Linked DNA regions of Stegostoma tigrinum. The protein of the gene in region 2 interacts with the protein of the main gene of each other region in a pairwise test. Links are inferred from orthologs where the notes say so. Each region holds a gene or a part of one and is shown on either strand. Other genes may lie near its edges.

Evidence for each region. The genes of interacting proteins can lie anywhere in the genome.
Region 1: the proteins of traf3ip1 (region 2) and frmd4a interact in a two-hybrid assay, tested with the Homo sapiens proteins (2 studies listed by BioGRID and IntAct). The link is inferred for Stegostoma tigrinum from reciprocal best matches to the Homo sapiens genes TRAF3IP1 and FRMD4A.

What each region holds. Positions count from the first base shown.
Region 1 is NC_081378.1:4,102,952-4,110,331, forward strand, and holds the start of frmd4a (FERM domain-containing protein 4A), read left to right. Parts: upstream 1-4,347; 5' UTR 4,348-4,618; coding exon 4,619-4,777; intron 4,778-7,380. UniProt on the Homo sapiens protein: Scaffolding protein that regulates epithelial cell polarity by connecting ARF6 activation with the PAR3 complex. Plays a redundant role with FRMD4B in epithelial polarization. May regulate MAPT secretion by activating ARF6-signaling.
Region 2 is NC_081360.1:20,757,396-20,764,999, reverse strand, and holds the start of traf3ip1 (TRAF3-interacting protein 1), read right to left. Parts: upstream 3,095-7,604; 5' UTR 3,010-3,094; coding exon 2,887-3,009; intron 2,874-2,886; exon of another isoform or gene 2,547-2,873; intron 2,541-2,546; exon of another isoform or gene 2,208-2,540; intron 1-2,207.

The DNA of each region.
Region 1 (7,380 bases), on a different chromosome or scaffold from region 2:
CGCAACAGGACAGCCCTTGCAGGAAGACCTGGAAAACGCACCAGAATGTGCTCAAAGCATCGCTGAAGAAGTCAGACCACCCCCCCCCTCCCGCCAAACACCAACCCCCCTCCCCACCATGGCTTATGATCGTTTGAGGCAGAGGAAGTTCGTTCAGGAAGGCCCTGAGCACCTTCAGAGCCTTCCTCAGGAAGGTGCTCAGGTGAAATCAAGGTTTTGAGGGGCTGCATAAACTTGCCCACACATCACCCCCAGACTGCCTATCACTCCAAACCTTCGCACCACACTCTACCCTCCCCGGCCACCCAATTAGGGTGTCCGCACATCCTGGAATGGACTTTAACAGGTTTGAAAGGAAGACAATGACCACCCACTGGATCTCTACAAACGGCTCTCCATGTCCAACAATGAAGGCCAGAAGTATTGTGTAGGCTTCTGTCAAAAAATACAGATGAGAGCAGTAATAGAATCCCTGCAGTGTAGAAAGAGGCTATTCAAATCTGTACTGACCCAGCAAACCATCCAGACCCAGCTCTAACCCCATAACTCTGCATTCCATGACCAACCCACCTAGCCTGTACATTCCCAGACACTACAGGGCATTAGCATGGCCAATCCACCGAGCCTGCACATCTTTGGAATGTGGGAGGAAACCAGAGCACCCAGAGGAAACCCACACAGATACAGAGAGAATGTGCAAACTCCACACAGACAGTCGCCCGAGGGTGGAGTTGAACCCAGGTCCTTGGTGCTTTGAGGCTGCAGTGCTAACCACTGAGCCCAGTGATGAAGAGAAATAATGAACAGAAGTTCTGGCATAATGGAATGAAATAGTTTTTAATAACAAATACTTTATCAGCGCATTCAGACATGAAAAAGAATCGCATATGCTCACTCAGGTATTCACTCGAAAATTCAGTCGCGTCTCTAATTGTCTCTGTATTGGTCACTTCTTTTTTGCTGCAATTTTATTCTGTCTAAAAATAATTCTGATTGCCAATAGCAGCTAACCCTTGACTCTTATTTCCTTGCAAATAAATGGAAAATATTCATGGGCTGACATATGTAACTGGGAAAAGTGTCTGGAAATAGCTCCCAGCCTGACATTGCTGAGTGTTTGGGAGAAAACCCAGAATAGCACAATCTAATCAATTTCAGAGATTTTCCGGGCAGAAGGTTGGATTGTTTGTTTATGTCACAGGACCTTTTGGCTTTAGAGTTAATAGAAGTTTTTTTTAGGAGAAGCACAGACACTGGTAGAGCGCTCAGAATGTTTAGCCTGAGCAGTTAATGTTTGAGGTCAGTTTGTTCTAAAGTTTCCCATGTGTCAAAATGACCGCAGCATATACAAGGGGATGGCCAGGAATTCTCTCAAAGTTGGAATTACAATTTGGAAGATTCATGCTTTCACTTAATGTAACAATGGTTTGGGTCGGAGATTTGAACAAAGGTTGTACTGGTAATAATCTGTTGTAAGACACTCTTAAGCTGCTGTTTGGTCAGGAGTGATCTGTAATGGAGAATGAATCAATATGGGTTTGTGAAGCATTTATCCAGTGACATGTAGATGCAGTTCACAGGAAGAGAAGGAGGTGTTCAGTCTTTCGAGTTTGTCTCTGTCACTATTTAGTGAGATTACCCTGATCTCTGAGTTAAATCCATGCATCCATCTTTGCCAAACCTACCTTAATGCTTCTGGCTAAAATCCAATCAGTCTCTGATTAATAAAATTTAACAATTGACTCAACACTGGTTGTCTTACACTGAGGGCAGTTCCAAATTTGTCAAAGATAAGAAATAAGAACAGAAGCAGGCCATTCAGCCCTTCCCTGCCATTCTATAAACTTACAAAAACTCTACAAATAAATTAAACCCCAGGCCTCAACTCTTCCTTTGTGCTAACTCCTCAAGGCCTTTATCTCCCCAATATTTCAAACACCCATCTCCAACCCTTTCACACACTTCTGGCGATCTAGCCTCCACAGCTCAGAAGTGGAGAATTCCAGGCATTCACTACCCCTTCTGAGAGAAGACATTCCTTTACAAAATTCCCTTCCTTCCTAGTTTGATATTCCCCTTGTTGTAGAAGCTTCTTCTGAACATCTACTTATCACGACCCCTCATAGAGGTCATAGAGGTCTACAGCACAGGAAAATGGCCCTTCAGCCCATCAAGTCTGCCCCAGTCATAAACAAGCACGTAACCATTCCACTCCTATTTTACAGCACTTGGCCCATAGCCTTGTATGTTTCAATAAAATCACCCTTCATTCTTCTAAACTCTAATAAATAAGGGTCAAACTTGTTTAATCTTTCCTGATAAGCCTCTTCTTTTTAAGATTCACCAGAGAGGTTTATCCTGTTAACCATACAAGCTCGTAGACTCTTTGTAGAAAGGAGAATTGGTGCAGAATGTTAACCTAAAGCTTCCCTGGCATTGGTTGATTCTTTAATGCATACAACAATCAACATTGTACGGGTACATGAATCAGGGAAGGGTGGGCAGGCTGGATCTTGTCTTTCTAGAAAAAAGAAAGCTGTAAAGTGAGCTAACGGAACTCTGTAAAATGATGAAAGGCAATAATAAGATAGAGATTGTTTCTTCTTGTGGAGAAGAATAAAACTAGCAGCCATCCCCTTTGAACAAGGTGCAAGGAATCCAGTTGGCAGCACAGGTCGCCAAGGTGATGAAGAAGGCATGTGGCATGCTTGCCTTCATCAGCCAGGGCATGGAGTACAAGAGTTGGCAAACCATGTTGCAGCGATTATAAAACCCTTTGTTAGGCTGCATTTGGAGCGTTGTGTGCAGCTTTGGTCACCACACTACCAGAAGGACGTGGAGAGAGCGCAGAGAAAGTTCACCAGGATGTTGCTCAGTCTCAAGGGCATTGGCCATGAGGAAGATCAAAAAAATTCGTATTGTTTTTACTGGAAAGATGGCAGCTGAGAGGTGACCTGATAGAGGCCTACAAAATTATGCGAGGCGTAGATAGGGTGGATAATCAGAGGCTTCTTCCCTGGGCTGAAGTTTCATTTGCAGTGGGGCACAGGTTCAAGGTGAGAGGGGAATGTTTAAGGGAGATGTGCGAGGGAAGTTGTCACACAGAGAGTGTAGGAACCTGGAAAGCACTGCCAGAAAAGGTGGTGGAAACAGGCACATTAGCGACATTTAAGAGGCTTCTGGATGGTTACATGAACAGAGAGAGAACAGAGGGATGCGGTTCGAATAAGGGCAGGTTTGTTTTTTAAGATTAGTTAGGCCACTTGACCCGAAACGTTAACTTTGATCTCTCTCCTCAGATGCTGCCAGACTTGTTGAGCTTTTCCAGCAACTTCTGCTTTTGTTTCTGATTTACAGTATCTGCAGATTTTTGGTTTTCCTAACAGAAGTAGATTTGTTGGCCATTTTGTTGGTGGGAGCTTGCTATGTGCAAATGGCAACAGTTCACTGGTTATGAAATGCTTTAGAACATGTATCCGCTAACAGTGTTGTACAAATGCAAATCTATTTTATTAATAACTGGCGGTAAGATTAATATTTACTTCTTTGAAATCTTTGCCTCAGAAATAATTACTTGAAAGAAGATTAGAGATTTAATTGGAAATCGTAATTGGTTTATAACGTAATGATAAAAATCTTTAATAAGCAGTGCACATACTCTTGTAAAATTGCACACTATATATTCTCCAGGGCAAAACATATTGACAGTTGATCACCAGATAATAGTGACTTTCTCGTGCACATGTCAACTTCATTTTCACATAAGAATGTCAATTATTTTTCCTCCCTAGTCTAGATCTGCTCTCTATCAAGTGAACATGAAACAGAATATTTCAGTTTCAACTTCTGGTTATCTTAGTGTTTGAAGCCAGTGGCCATCTTCAGAAGTGGAATTTCATGTAACATTTCACGGCCAATATTTTAGGAAATGTCAAAGTTGATTGGCCGACAGGAACAGGAAGCAGATGATGATTGAATGCAATTAAGAAAGAATTAATTTCAGCAACCAGGCTGTAACGTCTTTACAGTGAAAGCGATATGCCATTTTCAGGTTATTTTGTAAATGAGATTAATCTCGAATGCAGATTGAGAACAATCTGTTGGCTCTGTTTTACTGGGGCTCTGTGTATACAAGGTACTTGGTGCCATTGACCCTAAATAGTAAAATGGAATGTCAAGGGAATGTTGGCAGAAAAACAACGTTGAGAGTTAATTTTTCCCGAGACACAGTTCTGGCAGTCACACAACCCAACTGAACTCATTAGTGCTTCTTTCCTATTCAGAAAAGAAGTGAACATTGGGAGTAGCCTTTTGTTTGTTATGACAGACTTGAATGAAGGCTTTTTCTCATCTGTGTAACTTGAAGATGTATTGCTGGACCTGAAGTTGCACTGTGTTTGTACTTTCTGGACAGCACACTCCTGAGCTCTCTGAGGAGCACTTCTTATGGGAAAGAAGAAAAGTTGATGTTGGCTTCATCCCTCTTCCTTTGGCTCCAGAAACTGCAAAACCAAGTAAAAGCAAAACTTTTGAGTGTCGTTTTCAATTTGCAGTACTGACAGGGGAGCAAAACTCAAGAGAATCATTTTGAACTCGACGGGGTTTCAATTGTGATTCAATGGCTACAGTTTTGTTCAGCTTTGAAGATTTGCTGTATAACTGGGATAGTCTGGTCTGGAACTTTACAGCCCGAGCTCTGAGGAATTGGCGGTTTGGTAATCTCCGTGCAGTTCAGCTGCTCCTGAGACCATGGTGTGTCTCCCGGAATGTTTACCAGGTGGGGAATTTCACTTAGTACCAGAACTGTACTGACTGGCTATGCTTAGGTCAATACTGTGTTAAACACAGCACAGCTTCTGCAAAGCCTACCCTAGTACTTATTTATCGAAAGGGATATAGACTGAATTTTAAGAATTAAAAATAGCATATTTTGCTTAAAGTTCATTTGAGGCAGGGGGCTATATTATTGAAGGTACAGTCTGCTTTAGTTTGTTTTACTTTATTGCCTTGAAGTTAGTTTGCACTGTATGTAAAAGACTTTAGCAAGTAAATAAATTCTTAACAGAATCCACCTCCTCCAATTTAAAGTCTGATGGCCAATAGTGATAAAATACATGTGGAAAGTCAAAGCTATTTCAGTAAATCGACAATCTGAAATTCAATTTTTTTTTGTTGAACCTAAAGCCGAGGGAGTTGGTAACGGAACAGCTGAATGCTGATCCTGGAATCTCTCACACTTTGCAGGTGACCCTTCTCTGAACCTGAGATGAAGGCTGGGGAGGGGGAGCTGTGGTCCATGGGAAGGTGCTATTACTGATGGTGAGGAAGCCATGGATTGGGACAAACACTTCTGCTCCTCTCCACTCGCCATTAGCGATTTAAAAACATGCATTGAACCCCTCCGCTGACAAATATATATTCATTCCTGTACCCTTGTGAAAGAATGTTTGTCTCGGCTTCAGATGAGTAAATGATAGGAAGCTTGCACCATGTAGCCATGAGCCGGTTTCTGCACTGTGTCCTCACTCAATGAAGGGAATGGGGCATCAGTCAGAGCAGCATCTTCTCAAGTCTTTGAGACACCAATTTTCTGACTTCAGGCCCTCGGTCACATAACGCAGGGTTTAACACGTGTTAATTGGCTGGAGACAACCCCTCAAGAATCTATTGGAAGGAGGTTGGATAAAATTGGGTTTTATTGCAGCCACTTTACATGCTTAACAAAGGTCAGCAGTGTCCAGTTTCTGCCGCCAGGTATTGACCATTTGAAGATGTGCATATGCCTGTTAAATACACTGCAGAAGGAGCAGGGACCTGAGCTGAAAGGTCCTCTACACATCCGGAAGTATTGGTGACATCTTGCATTGTCAAGCATCAAACCATAGAAGGGTCCCTGGGTCCTGTGTCCTCTGTTTGTCAACGCAGAGAGTGCTGGAGAAGCTCAGCAAGTCTGGTAGCATCTGTGGGGAGAGAAGCAGAGCTAATATTTTGAATTCAATATGCCTGTTCTTCAGAACAAACTGTTGTTTTCTCCACTTGAGATAGAGATTGTCTCCCACTTCAGTTTCTGGTAGACAAAGAAAGCTTGTAAAATCCTGACAGTAATTTCCTTGAAGATATCCAGGAGATACCCTCTAAAAGAGGGTTACAGATAAAGCAATCCCACTTGCACTGCAAACGTAACCCCTGGTTCCTGCAGCTCAAATGGGAACACAAAGTGACATCTTCTTTCAGTACACAATATAAGCAAATCAATTCCTCATCCATTAGTGGATAGTCTGCTGGGAAGCTGACTTTGTTCTGATGATAGCCTTGCACCTGGTCTTCATTCTTCCACATTTACTAAATGTTAAAGTCTTTGTTTTCCTGCTAATCAAGATGAAACAAGGAAGGAACTTATAAAATGCTTCGGGTGACTGTCAGTGCAGAGTTTGCACATTCTCCCCAGTGTCTGCGTGGGTTTCCTCCGGGTGCTCTGGTTTCCTCCCACAGTCCAAAGGTGTGCAAGTTAAGGTGGGTTGGCCATGGGAAATGCAGGGTTACAAGGATAGGGTAGGGGGCTGGGATGGGCCTGGGTGGGATGCTTTTTGGAGAGTCAGTGTGGACTCGGGCCGATTGGCTTGCTTCCACGCCATAGGTATTCTGTGATTCTATGATCTGTGGAAGTAAACAGAGGCTTTTAAAATTTAGATGCTAAGGTGTTTGCTTAAAATTCTATATTGCTGAAACAAATGAAGCGATGTTTGAATTTGCAAGAGCAAAAAGAGCTCATAAAACGTATCATCCAGAAAAGAAAATGTCAACACTTCGGTTGTTTGATCAAAGCTGAGAAGCCATGGAGATGGTTTTTGAGGGTAAAATGCAAGGCAGCTGAAAGAGAGTTAGACCTTAGCATTTTTGGATGATGATATCACAGGACAGTTCCAGATGAGCTACAATGGAGTGTGAGGATGGGGTAACCCAGGCAGGTGTGGCACCACGACAGCAGATTTCCTGACAGGAACAGAGCAGGATGCTGCTGTAAGTGAAAAGTGCAATATTACAGTCCATCTACTCTCCTTGGACCATGTCCTCTCAGGTCCATGTACTATTGGTATACATTGCCTCTGTTCTGTCCCCATTGCTGGTTCTCAGCTGCCTCGCACCTCAGACAAGTTCACACTGTTTGGTTTTTGCTGCTGCTCAGCGTTAGGGATGTGATTTTCAATCTAGTTGGCCGCACCCCCCCCCCCCCCCCACCCCCCGCAACTTCTTGGATTGAGTGTTCCCCTCTTCCTTTCACAGAAAAGAGAGAGAAGGCTTCTATTTCTTTAACCACAGCTGCATTGTTTGCTGTATCATGTCCCCTTATTTGCTGTCCAAGATCTCTATGCTGTTCTA
Region 2 (7,604 bases):
CATGGGATGTGCGGTTAGTAAATTTGCATTTCATACCAAAATTGGAGGTGCGGTGGACAGCGAACAAGGTTGTCTCAGAGTACAACAGGATCTTGACCAGATGAGCCAATGGGCAGAGGAATAGCACAGAGTTTAATTTGGATAAATGCGAGGTGCTGCATTTTGGAGAGGCAAATCAGGGCAGAACTTATACACTTAATTGTAAGGTCCTGGGGAATGTTGCTGGATGAAGAAACCATGAAGTACAGGCTCCTAGTTCCTTGAAAATGAAGATGCAGGTAGATAGGATAGTGAAGAAGGCATTCGGTATGCTTGACTTTATCAGTCAGTGCATTGAGTTGGGAGGTCATGTTGCAGCTGTACAGGATATTGGTTAGGCTACTATTGGAATATTGTGTGCAATTCTGGTCTCCCTGCTATGAGAAAGATGTTGTGAAACTTGAAAGAGTTCAGAAAAGATTTACAGGGATGTTGTCAGAGTCGGAGGGTTTGAGCAACAGGGAGAGGCTGAATAAACTGGGGCTATTTTCCCTGGAGCATCAGACACTAAGGGGTAACCTTACAGAGGTGTATAAAATCATGAGGGGCATGGATAGGGTAAATAGCTAAAGGTCTTTTCCCTGCGGTGGCAGAGTCCAAAACTAGACAGCATATGTTTGAAGTGAGGGGAGAAAGAAGTAAAAGGGATCTAAGCAGCAGCATTTTCACACAGAGGGTGGTGCACGTATGGAATGAGCTGCCAGAGGAAACTGTGGAGGTTGGCACAATTACAATATTTAAAAGGTATCTGGATGGGTATTTGAATAGGAAAGGTTTAGAGGGACATGGGACTAGATTTATTTAGGATACCTGGCCAGGACGGACAAGTTGGACTGAAGGGTCTGTTTCCATGCTGTACATCTCTATGACTCGAAGTTAAGTTTTAGTGAAGATGCCACCCAGGTTGACAGGGTTGTTAAGGCGGCATAGTGTTTTAGCTTTTATTAATAGAGGGATCGAGTTCCAGAACCACGAGGTTATGCTGCAGCTGTACAAAACTCTGGTGCAGCCGCACTTGGAGTATTGCGTACAGTTCTGGTCACCGTATTATAAGAAGGATGTGGGAGCTTTGGAAAGGGTGCAGAGGAGATTTACTAGGATGTTGCCTGGTATGGAGGGAAGGTCTTACGAGGAAAGGCTGAGTGACTTGAGGCTGTTTTCATTAGAGAGAAGGTTGAGAGGTGACTTAATTGAGACATATAAGATAATCAGAGGGTTAGATAGGGTGGATAGGGAGAGCCTTTTTCCTAGGATGGTGACGGCGAGCACAAGGGGGCCTGGCTTTAAATTGGGGGGTGAAGGATATAGGACAGATGTCAGAGGTAGTTTCTTTACTCAGAGAGTAGTAAGGGTATGGAACGCTTTGCCTGCAATAGTAGTAGATTCACCAACTTTAAATACATTTAAGTTGTCATCGGACAAGCATATGGATGTACATGGAATAGTGTAGGTTAGATTGGTATGACGGGTCGACACAACATCAAGGGCCGAAGGGCCTGTAATGTGCTGTAATGTTCCATATTCTATGTTCTATGTTCTAAGTATACATGGAACAATGAGTACATTGTGTGCAGGGCACTACATGGGCAAAAATCAATCTTCAGTCATCATTTTTATAGTTAATGGAAGTCGAGAACCAGCACCAGTCACATATGTCACATTTAAAGCAATAAAGATGCATTACAGGAACAAAGCAAAACTCTATGCTAAGCCACATAAAATATTAGGGCAATGGTCAAAGCGTTAGGTTTTGAGAAAGAAAGTGATAGGAATGTTGAAAGGATGCTTGTCCTTATGGGAGAGTCTAGAACTATGGGGGACAATTTAAAATATGGAGCTCTCTCATTTTAGACAGATGATGAGATTTTAGATTAATACAGGATCAAAAGTTACCAGGTTGGTACAGGTGAATGTGGAGTTGCTGGCACACCAAATTAGTTTTGATGTTATTGAATATTGGAATAGACTTGCAGAGCCAAACAGCCAGCTAAAATATTCATAAAAGGTGCAGAAGATTAAGGATGGTCTTCCAGAACGTCAAGTCTTAGCAGCCGTGACGCAACCACTAATGGCTGCGCAATCAACACTGGAGCTGTTGAAAGAGTAGAGATCAGAATTAAAGGAGCGCAGAGCTGGACGCTGAAGCCTTTCGGAAGAAAGGTCCCTACCCGAAACGTCAACTCTCCTGCTCCTCTGATGCTGCCCGGCCCACTGTGTTCCTCCAGCTCCACACGATGTTATTTCTCACTCCAGCATCTGCATCTTATTATCTTAGAGGAGCGCGGAGCCTGTACATCATGTGGCAAAAGGAGGCCACGGAGAGAGGCAATTCCACGAATAGATTTGAAAGGATGAGAATTTTAAAATCGTGGCGTTGTTTGTGCAGGAGACAATGTAGATCAGCAAGCATATGGGAAATAGAGGAAGGGCGCTTTAATTGAGCTCAAGACAGGAAAAGCGGTGTTTCGGATGCCTTAACTGTGAAGAGGATTGATTACGAGTATTACCAGATGTGTTGAGTTTGCCTGTTGTCATGAACAAGCATCCGTTTGAGCAGAAACATACTGCCATCGTTCAGAACTACTGAAAGATTCCACAAGAGGGTCCTTGTCCTACCAAAGGTAGGGGATTTGAGCCATCCACATAGAAACGGTACATTGGAAACTGACCCGCACACAAGCTTCTCAAGGATACTTAATATTCCTTGTTGGCTGCGTTGTGATAAAGGCGGGTCCCCGGGCGGATGTGCGCGACAACTAAGGATCGGAGCAGGCGATTGAGTCCCTAGCAACCAGGGTCGCCCCACCGGGCCTTGTCTCAGTGCTCGGGGAACTCGTCGGCGCTCACCTCGGTGAAGATGTCGTGCAGATAGCGGAAAGGCGGCTTGCTAAGCAGCTTCTCCGTCAGTGGCGGCTTCTTGATCACTTTTCCCAGGGTGTCCTGGGTCCGTCTGACGAACGGGTTGCTCATTGCGCTGGGTCTCTCCTCTGGGTCGGGATAAACTGATCCAACCAGGCCGTTCTCAGGCCCGCTCCACCAACCGCCGCCGTGCGCGACTACGTCACTAACGCGTGCCAACTTCGGCGTGACGCGGCTGCCTAGCAACAACCGCAACAGCGCTGTCAGCTGACACACTGCGTCCTTCCCCCAACCATTCATTCCCCACTCAGACCGTTTCCTTACCGTTTTATCAATATTCATTTAGGCATAGGTTTAAGGTGAGAAGGAAAAGATTTGCAAGGGACTGAAGGGGCAAATTTTTCACGCATGGATGGAGTGAACTGCCAGAGGAAGTGGTGGAGGCTGATACAATGACAACATTTAAAAGGCAATCTACATGGTTATATGAATAGGGAGGGTTTGGGATATGGGATGGCAAATGGGACTAGATTAATTTAGGATATCTAGTTGGTGTGGAAGGGTTGGACCGACTCTCTGTTTCCATATGGATCAAATTGGTGCCACAAGCATGGAAATTAATTCACATCCAGCTGGGATGGATTCAGAACCTGTCTATAATAAAGATGGGTGTGCCTTCAGCAGAGAGAATAGGGGAAGAGAAAGCAAACTTTCTGACTCCATTACAAAGTATGAGATGATTTCATTCATTGCTTAAATTTTACACTTCCAACATAAACATAAGTTAGCTTTTAATTGTGATTAACTCCAAGCTTACAGAGATAATAGGACCTGCGATGCTGGAGAATCTGAGGTAACAAGGTATAGAGCTGGATGAACACAGCAGGCCAAACAGCATCAGAGGAGCAGGAAAGCTGATGTTTCAGGACCCAAAACGTTAGCCTTCCTGCTCCACTGATGTTGCTTGTCCTGTTGTGTTCATCCAGCTCTGCACCTTGTTATCTCATTAACTCCAAATTTGTTTGAATTGAATTAGTTGAAATGAATATCAGTTTCTCAATCAGATGGACCATTCATCTGCAACTAAACTCAAATTTCCAAAACAAAAGTTATATTCTAAAACATATGAATAATGAACTAGATAGTCACATTGTATTAACCTATAAAGTGTATAATTAAGTACCATGTATGTGATTATATAAAGAATCTGAAGAAGACATATCATTTTAAAATTGAGACATGAAAAATACCTCTCATTAGCTAATTGAAGAGCATTATTCTTTTCAAGGAGGAGGTAAATATAGTCATGTGGCTAAAGAGAGCAAGGGATTTGGGGGAAGAGGGTGAGATTAGCCTACTGAGTCCAATGATCAGCCCACGAGGGGGTTGAATGACCTACTCCACTCTTCTTTGTTTCTACAATCTCTAGTGGTCAAGAAAAACATAATTAGTACCAATCAGTATTTTAATTGGAATTGTTCCCCAAGGAAAAGCACAAAATTTATAATTTGTTTACAGTTAAAAGCTTCAAGTGAAATTTGTTGTCTCAAGTATGATTGAGGATGATCATCACATGTAAACCCAGTCTAACAACAAAAAATGCTGTAAATACTCAGCAGGTCTCATAGTATCTGCAGAGAGAGAGGCATTTAACAGTTAACAGTTTAGGTTGTGACCTTTCAACAGAACTGGAAAAGGTTAGAAATATAATGCAGTATCTGTTGAAAGGTGAAAAGAGGAAGAATGGAAAAAGAACAAAAATGTCTGAGATGGGTTAGGGGTTACAAGATATATTAAATGACGAAAGATTTTGTGGGTAACAGCTAGAGGGAGTGGTAATGGTACAAGTAAAAATAATGTCCAGAGGATGTACAAATGTATACTGTCAAAGTTCTGCTCCAATACTCCGCTATAGGGCAACAGAAAGCTCAAATTGTATTTTTGAATCCAAAATAATTTTGATAATGAGCTCAAACCTAAAACACTAATATGTGATTCTTCCTAATGCATGTTGATAAACTGGCTGTGTTTTTCAAATATTATCTGCAGGAACTTTTGAATTCAGGAATTGAGGTTTCTGTAAAGATGAGTATACAATCAAAGAATGCAATAGCTGTTCAAGTCCAAAATGACTCAAAATTAACTCTCTCTCTCTCTCCCACTCCAAAAGATGCTACTAGATATGCTGAGTTTCTTCAGTGCTTTGTTTATTTCAGATTTCCAGAGTTTACAGCATTTTCCTTTTACCTTGGTTTTGGTATAACTTTAGCCAGATCCCTCCCCAATTCTTAATGGTACTGCCATATTGAAAACCAAATACTTGGCTCTTGCTCTTTGCCCTGTACCAGTTGTTCAAAGCAACTTTCTCCAACTGGCTATGCAGTACCTAACCCCAGGATACACACACCAAAACAGTGTGATGACCTTAAGTTCTGAAAATTCTACCCTGAACGAAAGTTGTTCCGAGAAAGTGGAAAGTAGGAAACAGAAGCTGAAGAGCTTGGACTGGGAAGAAGTTGAGAGAACGGTAAGCATCTGAAATTAAGAGTTGAAAATTATAAATGTTATTCTGGTAATAAAATCTGAAAACAAACATATGGTCAATAGATTTGAATAAGAAATTATATTATTTGACCATTTAGCTTCGGATCAATTGAAAGAGTGATGGAATGAGCAATCAAAACAGTAGTAGGCAATTGTTTGACCAGATAAATTTCAGATAAAGAAACTTCATTAAATCCATCAAAAATAAATGTTGGCTGAACTTTGTTACACTAAATAATACACTAAATAAAACATACTGTAAATGGGAACAAGAACAAAGTTGCTGGAAAAGCTCAGCAGGTCTGGCAGCATCTGTGGAGGAGAAGAGAGTGTTAACGTTTCGGGTCCAGTGACCCTCAGACTGAGGAAGGGTCACTGGACTCAAAACGTTAACTGGTTTCTCATCCACAGATGTTGCCAGTCCTGCTGAGCTTTTCTAGCAACTTTGTTCTTGTTCCTGATTTACAGCATTCGCAGTTCTTTTGGTTTTTGTACTGTAAATGGGCACTGGAAAAATTCAAATGCTGCATTATCAACATTAACTTTTTCTAAGCAGGAACTGAGTCACAAATAAATATTTTAGAACTTTGAATTTAGCATTTTTTCCCTCAACAAAGCATTTTCAATGATTGAGGTGGTGCAATCCTTTCATGTGTCAATGAAAATTTTAATTGTGTGTAAATACATAATCACAAAAAGGTTGTTCTGATTTTCTTCACTTTAAAGGCTGTGTTGAAAAAGTGTATGCCAACTGCACTAATAAAAAACAATGCAAAAGAAATTAAGTAACAAAACAGGACGTTTGTGCAAGGCAAAAGGAAATAGCAACAAGACAAGAAACAAAAGATGGGTGTAGAAAAGGTGTAAACAGAAAATACAGAACATATCTGCAGCTGATCTCTTTTTAACTAAGAAGCAGTACTGAATAGGAAGGAAAGAATGAGAATCAAGGGTTATGGGGAGAAAGCAGGTAATTATTGAGAAATAGCTGATCACCATGACTTCTTTCAGTAGCAGAGCAGATAAGATTGGTTGAATGGCCTACTTCTGTTCTTACATCCTTTGATTTCGTGGAAACTTGCACAGGTGCCAGTACACATAACTGCAGCAATAAAACCTTTGGGTTCCAAAAATAAAATCAAAAAGACTCCGCACTCCAAAGAGCAGCAAGCACAAAACGTTCAATAGCTGAAAATAATCTGATTATTTCATTGATAATGGGAACTGCAAATGCTGAAGAATCCGAGATAACAAAGTGTGGAGCTGGATGAACACATCAGGCCAAGCAGCATCTCAGGAGCACAAAAGCTGACGTTTCGGGCCTAGACCCTTCAATCACAAAACGGGTAGGGAGAGGGGGAGGCGGATCGAAGATGGTACAGGAGAAGATAGGTGGAGTGGAAACAGACAAGTTAAAGGGGCGGGGGTGGAGCCAGTAGAGGTGAGTGTAGATGGGGAGGTAAGGACGGGGATAGGTCAGTCCGGGGAGGGCGGACCGGTCAAGGGGGCGGAATGAAGGGTCTAGGCCCGAAACGTCAGCTTTTGTGCTCCTAAGATGCTGCTTGGCCTGCTGTGTTCATCCAAGTCCACACCTGATTATTTCATGCTTTGGTTCCCTCTTTGTTGAGAGATTATATTGTCACTGACTTCCGAATTTTAAAAATAATCCTAGCTGTTACTGGTGTGAACGATAAACACAAAAAAAGTGTTTATCCCTTTTCCATGTTATTATAGCGGTAGGAAGATTACACCCGCCCGCCAATTCAAACCAATAACCTCGCTTTCCTTTGCCACGATTGGACGGATATGTATGATTGACGGTGGTATAGCCCAAACAGATTGTGGACGGAGTATCAAAATAAACTACTAACGCTTACTAAAAACCGAAAGAACCGCAGATGCGATAGATCAGGAATAAAAACAAAGTTGCTGGGAAAGTTCAGACGGCCCAGCAGCATCTGTGACGGAAAAAACAAAGTTAACGTTTCAGGTCCAGTGACCTTCCTCCCCTGACGCTTTCTATTTGGCTTTTGCGTGTGATTGACAGGAAAGTAACCCAATCCAAAGAGACGACGTGCTGACGCGAGCGTCCGTGTAATGAACGTGGAACAAGTTTGACCGTCATTAGGAGGGTGGGAACAAAACCCGGCCCTGCTTTTATT